Schizosaccharomyces pombe: one gene and its partner. The protein of the gene in region 1 interacts with the protein of each later gene in a pairwise test. Each region holds a gene or a part of one and is shown in the gene's direction. Other genes may lie near its edges.

Region 1 (6,022 bases):
AATTTTATTTCCTTTTTTTTTTTTTCTTTTTTGGAGATGGGATTCCTTAGTTTATGTTGATATAAAAATAGAAAAAGACAAATGTAATAAGATCTGCAAAATTCACACAACTTTATGTTTTTGTTCACATGTTACATTCAACTTTATGTTTATTCACATGACTTGATGATTTTATTTTGGCGGACGCAGAGTTTGCCAAATTGAAGGAAATAGAGTTGTGTCTGATATGGATGCGAAAGGTATGCGAGTGGCATAAAACTGGCATCCCAGTGTTACAAAATATATATTTTTTTTTAATATTTAGTTATTCATTTACTTATTGGGTTATATTTACAAGACAGTGTGATGATAATACAAATAATAGAGTGGAGTATGTTATACGAATAAAGTATGTTATGAAAAGTTTCTAATAAATAAATTATGCTATTCCGTATGTTGTATAAATGAAGCTGCTATAAAGTATGTTAAAATTGTATACTAAAAGAATACAAGGTGGATTATGTAGTAAGAAAACAACGAGTCTTACTAGCAAGTTTATAAACTTTCCTCGGGATGAGCGATAGCATAAGTTTTGCAAGGTAAAGGACATCGGCAGTGTCAAGAGGAAGAAGTCGATAAAAAGGAAATACTCGATCAAAGAACTTTAAAATAAATTAAGGAAAAAGAAAGAAATTACCCCAATTATTTTTTAGTATTATTTTTATTTTTATTTTTCTTCTTTCTTTCTTTCTTTTCTTATCCTATTTCTCTTCTTATCCCATGCCTTACCCTACCTTTTCATATCTTACCTTGCCATCCCTTCTATTTCATCTACTATTACCTCTGTCTTGTAACACTTGATGGATGCGTGCATCAGTGTGCTCTCTTTCATGGGTGCTCGCTTCTTCCTCCTCTTCGTCCATCCAAATTAGGTACGTTCGGAGTTGATCATGATTTCGGATTTTCAATTTTTTTTCTCAGACACTCGTCTCCAGATACCCATGTCGTCTCCAAAGCAACCTGTTACTCGTTTGCGAAAAGAAAAAAATACCTTGGCAAGACAAGGCAAGCAGGCATCTCTGCCCAACATTTACTAGCAGACCAAATCGCGAACATGTCAGCTTTCTAACGTTCATCCTTCACTTACTGGAAATGGGACAGAATGCTCTCGTCGAGGATTTAACGTTAAAGGTTATTGTTGAGTTGACAAAAGGTGGAAGAAGCGAACAAAAGAGTTGGTAAAAGAAAAAAGTTGCCGCTAGCGAGTCCACCCTCTACCAATAGATCAAACGTGCCAAAAGACATATGGGATAGCAAAGGCCCAAACTCCCCCAACCCAACCTAACCTAACCTAACCTACCTAAGAGTAGTGTTGAGTAGAATGAGTTTCAGTACTTTGAGTGCGAAAGGAGTAATGAGTTTTGTTGGATGGATAAGAGCAGGGAAGCGCCATCATACGAAGCGGCTTAACAGTGAAACCGAAATTCTCCATGAGCAATATTTAATGAATATCTCACGATGTGATTGGAAAGATGGCAACCATCGATACGAGGTCATTTTTCCGAATGCCTGAGATGATAGAAAAAAGTTGCGCCCTTTTTGGCTATATATTTCTATCCTCTTTGACCCGATGTTCCTTACATGTTTCCGGGGGTGTACCTTGGATCGCTCTATTTTATCATTTAACGTTGTTGTCATTCGTGCACTAAATTGATACACTATTTTCACCCCTACTTTACGAGCCACCACTACCACCAACTCTGGCCACTTCCAATCTCAACTTGAAACAACATTAGACAACCGAAAGTTCGATTTCAATGACGAAGGAATGGGAATGTCGAAGAGAGCAGATCATCGAGCTTTCCAAGATCAATGGAATGACGATTCGCGAGCTGCAGGCGAGAATGTCAAAGATGTATAAATTTGACGCTAGGTAAGTAGTTTGTTGGTGTCGCCGCAGGGACTACAAGTTGCGCCATTTTGTGCGAGATGCTTGCGATGCGACGAGGAGCGAATAAGTACAGGGCTAGAGGTACGAGAAGGTGAATGGAATTGTGTGTTTGGATGTTTGGGTGTAGGTCGTCGTTGTGTGTCGTGCCTGCATGGACATTGGCTATTGTTGGGTATGTGGGGTTGCGACAATAAAACAGGATGGCAGTTTTCCAAAACATCCTCAACTGAGACATTCATTCAACAATGAAATTTTGTTTCTTTGTTTCTTTGTCTTTTTGGTTTGCTGTTTTGTTTGGAATATCTTTTTTTTCATCCACTTTGTCCAATCCACTTACATACAGGATACAAATGTCCTAAACAATAACCCGTCATGTATATCATGTGCATGCTCATGCAAAAGACCATGCCATATGAATCCATCCTGTTTTCCTTTCCTCTATTTCATTTGGCGTTGCGTTGAAGTTGTCTTTCGCTACTTCGTTTTCGCTCACGTTTATGTTCACGTATCGCGTACTTGTCTCTTTAGCTCTTTTTTTTTGTTGTTTTGTTTCATTACTCTTGCTAACTTTTCTCTAGTATTCGCTCATACAAACGCGTGTTGGCTCGATGGGGAATTCGAGTACATCGTCAACGTTTTGTCTCGCCCCGAACCGAAGAGGCCGCCGCGCGAACCGCTTCGGGCGACGTTTCAAAGGCTCTCGATGAACTCGTTACCCAATTATTTCATGCGCGACAAAGTGATAAAGATTCTTTGGCCCAGATAGAGGCGAACTTTGGTTTAAAACTTTCGAAACGTGCTTTGCATTATCGTCGTAAGAGATTAGCCTTAAAGCGTCCTCCTCCTGACTCCCACGATTCTCCCAATAACTCTATCCCTTTGATGGCCAACTCTTGTCTTTTGTCTGCTGATAACTCTTCGTCGTCTACAACTTCCAATCCTAACGTTGCTCCTCCCATTAGCACTCTTCCTGATCCCGTCGCTACTATATCATCTTCTTCTTCGAGCCATTTAGATATGGGTGCCATCCATCCTCCTCACCATAGCTCGCTTCCCCCTCACATGGGTGTGGATCCTTCAACTATGGCTGATGCACACAATGCGCACTCTTCTTTGACTCCTCCACAGTCTGGCTATTCTAGCATGCCATCTCTTCCTTATTTGCAGCAGCCTTTCCAAATACCCTCTCAACGTTTCTCTCGACAGCAACAATCTCATCCATTCCCTGCTGCTCAACATGCCGTTAACGGTCAGCCACAAGCTTTGTATCCTTTCATCTACCAATCTAGAAATGTCCCAATGGGCTCCACCATGTTTGCTTCTTCAAACCAATCTGCTGCTCATCCTGACGGTAATAATGCCCTTCCAATGGACAATACTCATGCCAACATATCCTATATGCAATCATCACAATCGATGCCTGTTAATTCTTATTCCTATGATCGATATACTCCAAATCAACCATCTTATCTTGAAAGTAAGCCTGGAAATCACCAACCCAGTTATACATCTGAACAACCTATGTATTCTACAGCGTCGGTTCCTCAACAAATTTCTAACGGACCAACTGCTGTCAATGGATTACCCATGAATTCATACACACCTCATTCCAATCATCTTCATTCACCCTCTCCTAACTCAAATTCAGGGCCTACTGATTCTTTGTCTGCTCCTAATTCTACATCCAGCCCTTCAATGGCGCATGCAAATGGAGCTTCTTTTGCAAGTCAGTACCCCTCTCTAAACAAGTCCATTTTTCCAGCTTCATATTCTTCTTCAGCGGAGGATGGGCAAAACATGCAAGCACCAGCACATGCTTATATGCAGTCTTCCATTTACGGCGTTAATCAAGAGCAAAAGTCGGAATATCCTTCTAATCTTTCAATGCAGTCTTCCATGTCAATTAAAGACCCCTCCCAGTTACAGCGTATACACTTATACCCTCAGCATTCTCAATACGATCCTAATGGAATGACTATGCGCGATCACTATTCTGAACGAATTGAACCGGAGGCAAAACCATCCGATGAAACTCTGACTGTCCGTTCATCTCGTGATTTATCTGTTCATAACGTTGGTACGTTACCTGTGCTAAGTGCCGCTGCTGCAACGCAGGCTGCAATGCCTCATACAATGGGACCCTCTGCTCATGACTCAGCATCAGCACCTAGCCCGCATATGCAATCGCAGCAAGCTCTACCGTATCAATATTACAATCCTCTCCCCGCTATGGCTGATCCAGCACAGAATGTTCCTCAACAGCTTCCTCCTCCCATTCACTCTCATTTATCTGATGACCAGCATATCCAATACTCGTATCCCAACACATTCGTTAATAGATTTCCTCAGAACATTCACCATCCTTCAGCTAATCTATTAGATGCAAGTGCGGCTTTGAATCCAGTACAAAATCCATTGCTTATGCCCCAACAAAACCATGAGCATTCTCCCCTGGTTCGTTCAGATGCAGCTTTGCATGACCATGGACCTTTACTTCCTGTTTATCCAGATGTAGATTCTCGTTTCGTTTAGTTTAGGTTAGTATTGCCGCTTGTTGCACTTTGCGGTTTTGACCATTTCCATGGTGTTGCTCTATTTATACTAGTACCTGTATCTTTAGTTGGTCCTTTCTGGCATTCCCTTTTGGTTTCTGCTTTATTATCATTTAGATGTTTTTTAATTTTTTTCTTCACCATTCGCCCTACCTGCCTAATGTGAGTTAAATTATATTGCCATTTGTGTCAGTATCTGGTATATGGACAGGCAAGCCCTTCTTTTTTAATAAAAGAACCTTTTGCGTTAGCTCTTATTTGAGCTAAGTTCATTTTTGATTCTTTTTTGCTCTTAATCGTTTTGTCTTTTTGCTTTGTATATAATTTTAGAAACTATTTTTAATCAAGGTCGACCGGTACTTTCGTATACGAGATCCTATGTACATAAAAGTTATATATTTAATAATAGTTATTTTTATTTTGCTTATACATTCGGTTTTTACTATTTACAAACTTTAACCAACCTTGAATAGTTATCATAGTAGTGGATTCAGTAAAGTATTATATTTAATAAGCTGTGGAAATGTTTCATTCAACAAATTATGAGTAACCGGACGTTTTTAGGTTTTTAAAAGCCTTAAAATAGAACGGATTTGGCCTGTTGAACTGACAAAGCATATCACACCATCTTGGTAAAATATATAATGTACAATATAGATCGTTCTTAGAGGGTATCAAAATAACGATTGTTAAAATGCTTTTAAAAAATGTGCTTAAATACAATCGGAAGAGCAGGAGAGAGCACTAAACGCCTTAAAATAGCTTTTACCAATTGGTGTAACCAAAGGTTTCGTTTGGCCCAAGTGACCTATATGGCACACTTTTCCAATCATAAGTTTTAGTGTACACAGTGTTTCCCCACCAGGTTATCTTACCTCCAGGGTATGATACACATAAGAAAATTACTACTCCAGCGACTGCAACCCCAGAATCCATAGCTGCAGCCAGTACGTAGTTGTACTTCCTCCACCAGTGTATCGCGCGCTTTCTAATCACATAATTAAATATAAACCCAACAATTGCCCAAGAAGAATAGTTAATTCCAGTAGCGGGAGGAATATTGCCAGGACCAGTGAAAAGGACCGGAGCATTAAGCTTTCCAATCCACGACTTAGGAAACCTTTTTCTCAAACCCCATGTTATAAAAGGAGCAACTGCACCTATCAAAAAGAAAAAAATCAATGGGTAATATGGTTTTCCTTTTGAAAACATTTTAGCGGGCCCAATTGCACCCCAAATTAAGGAGGCATTATAGATGGAACGACCGTTGGGACAAGTAAAGCCATTTGATTGTGAAGTTGTACAAATACCTGGAATGTGATAATTCATCCATTCCTGTACAGCAACCTGGGTAATTCCACCGAGGATTGTAGCAAAAAGCTGAACAAAAAATAATATACGTGGAGGTATTTTCATATATTGAGCGAGTTTAAGATCACGAGAAAACTCTAGCCCTTGCCGCATAGGAATGAACCCATACAGTTTAATCATCAAATTAGCTAAAGGTTTCCCAGGTAAAATATAACCGCCAATTAGCTCA
Region 2 (4,938 bases), on another chromosome or scaffold:
ATGAATCCTAGTCAAGCTGTTGATGATCTTCTCGAAGTTCTCGGTCTCAAAGAGAAGAGGGATACTGTAATAATTGTTAAACCTATCGATACTCTCGATAAGGCTCCTGTTTTAAGTCCTACTACCTATGACACTGTTTTTCGCTACTACTATGAAATATGTGGTATCGTCTCCAGGCAACTGCTTTCTTTTATTGCTCCTTTCGCTCCTACACCAGAATCTAAGCAAGAACTCGAGAAATTAGGCAACGATTATGACTACTTTAAGAAGAACGTTGTAGACTTGCACCTAAACCTTGCTCAAGTCCTTCGTCGTGTTTCTCCTGACGCTCCATTTACAAAACTTCCATTCTCAATGCTATTGGAAAATATGGCACACATGAAACCGCGTTACTATTCGATTTCCTCGAGCAGTGTAGTGCATCCTGACAAAGTTCACGTTACAGCGGTAGTTGACAAGAAAGAATGGACTGATAAGAATCATATCTTTTATGGACTAACTACTAATTATTTGTTGGCACATTGTCGTCATATGCACGGTGAAAAAATTCCACATCCAAATGGTTTGGAATATACCCTTGAGGGTCCTCGTAAAAACTGGACCGGAAAAATTCCGATGTTTGTAAAGAAATCTACTTTTCGATTGGCTCCTCCCGATGTCCCCATAATAATGGTAGGCCCGGGTACTGGTGTAGCCCCATTCCGCGGTTTTGTGATGGAACGGGCTAATTTAGCTTCTAAAGGAGTTAAAGTAGCAAAAACACTTTTATTTTATGGTTGCCAATATTCTGACAAGGATTTTTTATATAAGGAAGAATGGCAACAATACAAAGATGTCTTGAAAGACTCTTTTGAACTGATTACCGCATTTTCCCGTGAGCAAGATCATAAAATCTATGTTCAGCACCGTCTTTTAGAGCACAGTGATACCATTGCTAAACTTGTAGAAGAAGGGGCTGCTTTTTATATCTGCGGTGATGCTGATCATATGGCTAAAGATGTTGTGAATGCATTGGCTTCTATTCTGACCACTGTTGATGTTGACGGTATGAAAGCCGTTAAAGCTCTTCGAGATGACAATAGATTTTTTGAAGATACCTGGTAAGTTTGGAATTTATCCAGACTTTGCGATTACTTCAAGACTTAATGATGCCTTTTCATCTTAGAAATAGTTTAATACAATCATTATTCCACTCGGTATTTTTATCTATAGAAAACATAGTTTTTGTAGCAACTAACGAACAGTACTCTGTAACGTTATAATATCAAAAATAAACTGCCAACTTGAATTTCTTACTGCTCAAAAATGTCTACCGAAAATGCGAATCTACACAAAGTGCTGTGTTTGTCATGATTGAAAAACCTAAACCGACTTAAAGCTGGGTAACAAAGTAAACACTGGCAGTCGACTTCATTGCACTTCAATAATTAAGGCGATTGCGAATGTTTGATCAATTTACATACAATAGAAAGTATTTGATAATTCTTTTTTTGCTTTAAAAATACACGCATCAAGTTAGAGTACAGGATGCTATAAGTTAAATCCTCGGTCAATGTGTACTTGTCAACGCAAAACATTGAGTAATATGCGGAAAAGTTAAGTTTCCAAAAGTACAAGCATAATTAATACATGTATCCTAACTGTATAATAAAACTGAGCCTTTAAGTGTATTTTTTTTCTACGTTATCAAATCTAATGCAACACAATGCTATCCTTGATTTGTTTATTAACAGATTTCGCGCGCTCAAAAACTTACCTTTAACATATATTCAAACATTAAAGTATACATAATTTAAAAATTATTTACTTAAAGCATATAAGAGCGATGAATGGAATAATTACGCCTCAAAAACAAAAACAATTAATGTCTTCTCCTTCTCGTGATCCATTATCCACTACCGAATTGTCTACTCCAACAAGTCAAACAACTGTGGATGTCAATGACACGAAAAAAAGTGAAGGATTGGACTCTACAATTATACTATTAACACCAGGAACAAGCCCAAACGCAACGCCTGGTTCTAGCGAGTTAGGGCTTTCCAAGAAGCCAAACAGGTAAAGGGCTATTACAGATGTGTAATGTAATACTAACTAGGAATATAGTATAAAAAACAATACTTATTCTACAGCAGCACAGGCCGCGTATTTAAATAGGCGTGCTGCTGATCAATCAACCGTTATGACAACCGATCCTATTTCATATGCAAATAACAATATTAATAATGGAACACTGCCACAACAAAACGCCTACTATGCCAACTCTTATTATCCGTCATACTATGCACAGTCACAAGCCATTTCCAACAATCGACCGGGTGTCTCTGGATTCCGTCCTGCATTCAATTCTGTAGCTCCTTGCTATGGTTCACAATGGCAGACTCATCAGTCTGTTCACCCTTATCATGTTAACAATACTCATCAGTATTTAAAACCATATGTTCAGAATGGTATGATACACAGCTTATGAAAAAACTAATACTTACCAAACTTTTCGTCTTTTAGTATATCCTCAAATGCCCTCTTTAAATCAGCCGGGACTTCATATTGTCAATCAACCAACATATCTCGCGCCAGTTCCTTCAGCGACTGTGCCTACGAATTCAGTTTCTCTCTCGATGCCTTCTTTTTCCCAAGGGCAAAAAAATATTCCCGCTGCCATTAATCAAGAAATGAGTGTCGGTACAACAAAGGAGAATACAAATTACCTTTCTCAACTGGTTGGATTGCATCCTGCAATTCCTCCTGCCATTCCCAGCATGTTTCCCATGTCTCATGATAATAAAAAAAGTAACATGGAAAGCACTTCTCGTACTCGGAATGTTTACATTCGTGGTTTACCTCCCAACACTTCGGATGAAAATTTGTTGCTTTACACCAATCGTTTTGGTAAAGTTAGTAGCAGCAAAGCAATAATTGATATGGAAACGAATTTATGTAAAGGATATGGGTTTGCATGCTTTGAAGAAGAGAAATCTGCATTGATTTGCATTTCAGCCATGACTTTATGTGGATATCAGTGTTCATTTGCAAAAGAAAGTTTCAGTGCACGTCTTCAAAGTCTACAAGACACAGAAAGCACCAATCTGTATATTTCTAATCTTCCTCTTCATTGGAATGAAAGTGATATTTCCACATTGTTTAAACCCAGCAAAATCATATCAAACCGCGTACTTCGTGACTCTAAGGAACAATCTCGAGGTGTTGGGTTTGCTCGTATGCAAGATCGTAAAACGGCTGAAGACATAATTAATAAATTTAATAACTTTGTCTTGGATCCTGCTTTACCCCCATTACAAATCCGTTTTGCTGATTCCACTGATCAGAAGAAGTTTAAAGGTCAGACTCAGAAAAGAAGATTATGGCGTGCTCGTGAATACAGTGTTTTAACTAAGGGAATGACAGCTAATAATGCTTTTTCCAAAGTTGAGGAGTTCGCAAATAACTCTATGCCCTCTAAAGTTGGAATGTATGTGCCATTGGAGTCGAACACAGTCTATCAACATTCACCCACTTATGATACTTACGGTTGGCAAAGTATGTATCCCTCTTATTCCGTTTATCCCTCAAACTATGAAAACAGCAGAAGTACTACGCCATATCATGCCCATCCCGCTACTTCTGCTGCTAATTAAATTTAAACATCTTTCCAGCATTTACTTGAACATCAAACTCTAATATCGAAATCTTTTCAAACACTTATCACATACTCAAACTTAAACCAACATAAAACCTGTTAGACAAAGCTTACAATTAAGGGCCAAAGCTTTCTTTCTATGTTTTTTCTTTTATTTATTATCAGGTTATATAACAAAGGTCAAACCACTACAGTATTAATGAATGATATTATACATATTTGCTTAATCGTATAAAAAGAGAGAGGTATAAATAGTCCTTGAGTGTTCAAGATAATTGCACACTGTGAATTAAGAGGATAAAAGGGATGCAAAATTCTCCTTGATTATCCAACCATCAGATACTGATTTTCCTTTACGCACAGCGACTTTTCCAAGAGTTTCGCTGATAATATTTTTGGTTACGTAAGGAAACATGTGCCTCAAATTCTCGATCAGGAATACTTTGTTGTCATGAGAGTTACGGACATATTCTATAAATTTGGGTATATCTTCAGAAGGAAACCTTACTTGTAAATCATCAGAAAGTGAACTGGTAGGTCCAATTGTCATTCCACTAGACGCTGGAGCAGTATCTTGAGAAGCCCATAAATCCTCTTTAGGATCAATTTGGAGATATGTAGATGCTGAAAATGAACTAATGGGTTCAATTAAAGATAAGCAATTAAAGTCAGGAAGAAACTTTGAATCCCAAACCGGACCTTCTACGATTACCTCTAATGGGCCGGAGGAACGATGGGTATTAGAAGCATTGACACTATCCTTGTCATCATCCTCATCATCCACAAAAGCATTATCACCATCCTCTACAATATCATCGGAATTATCTACCTCTTCATCTTCACTTTCTAAATCTTCTCCATCATCTTCCTCATCAGCTACCCATTCTGCTTCTGAATCATATGTGTAGTCTATGTCTTCATCTTCAAGCCAGGGATTCAATAAAACGTTAGAACCATGGGAATGGGTTTTCGTGTAAGATCCAAAATATGGAGGGCGAACATCCTGATAAAAGAAAATGAATTTAATAGGAATCTGTGATAAACAAGATAAAATTTCTTGAGGTTTTGAAACAGATGGATCTTGATATGCGCTCATTAATTGTCGAACCTCGTTTTCGGAATTTCTATTACTAACACCTAAACTGTTTGCGGAGCTTACAGCATCTGATGGTGTAAAAATGTCGTTTAGCTTTAAAGGATAAGATTTAGAGGTTGAGAGGACTTCATCCAAAAAAGAATCAGATTCGTTCGGAGATGGATATTTGGAAAGGGACATCTGATGCTTTATAAAAAAAGGGCGAAAC

What was found.
Region 2: the proteins of clr5 (region 1) and spo5 interact in a two-hybrid assay, tested with the Schizosaccharomyces pombe proteins (one large-scale study listed by BioGRID).

The regions. Positions count from the first base shown.
Region 1 is NC_003424.3:5,426,611-5,432,632, forward strand, and holds clr5 (silencing factor Clr5), read left to right. Parts: upstream 1-1,745; 5' UTR 1,746-1,796; coding exon 1,797-1,912; intron 1,913-2,508; coding exon 2,509-4,462; 3' UTR 4,463-4,913; downstream 4,914-6,022. Other genes in the region: plasma membrane glutathione transmembrane transporter Pgt1, read right to left, coding at 5,248-6,022.
Region 2 is NC_003423.3:2,534,396-2,539,333, forward strand, and holds spo5 (meiotic RNA-binding protein 1), read left to right. Parts: upstream 1-1,754; 5' UTR 1,755-1,825; coding exon 1,826-2,055; intron 2,056-2,103; coding exon 2,104-2,447; intron 2,448-2,502; coding exon 2,503-3,632; 3' UTR 3,633-3,859; downstream 3,860-4,938. Other genes in the region: ccr1 (NADPH-cytochrome p450 reductase), read left to right, coding at 1-1,104; histone H3-H4 chaperone, CAF assembly factor (CAF-1) complex subunit A Pcf1, read right to left, coding at 3,924-4,938. UniProt on the Schizosaccharomyces pombe protein: RNA-binding protein which plays a role in sporulation. Regulates the progression of meiosis I and may function in the vicinity of the Mei2 dot.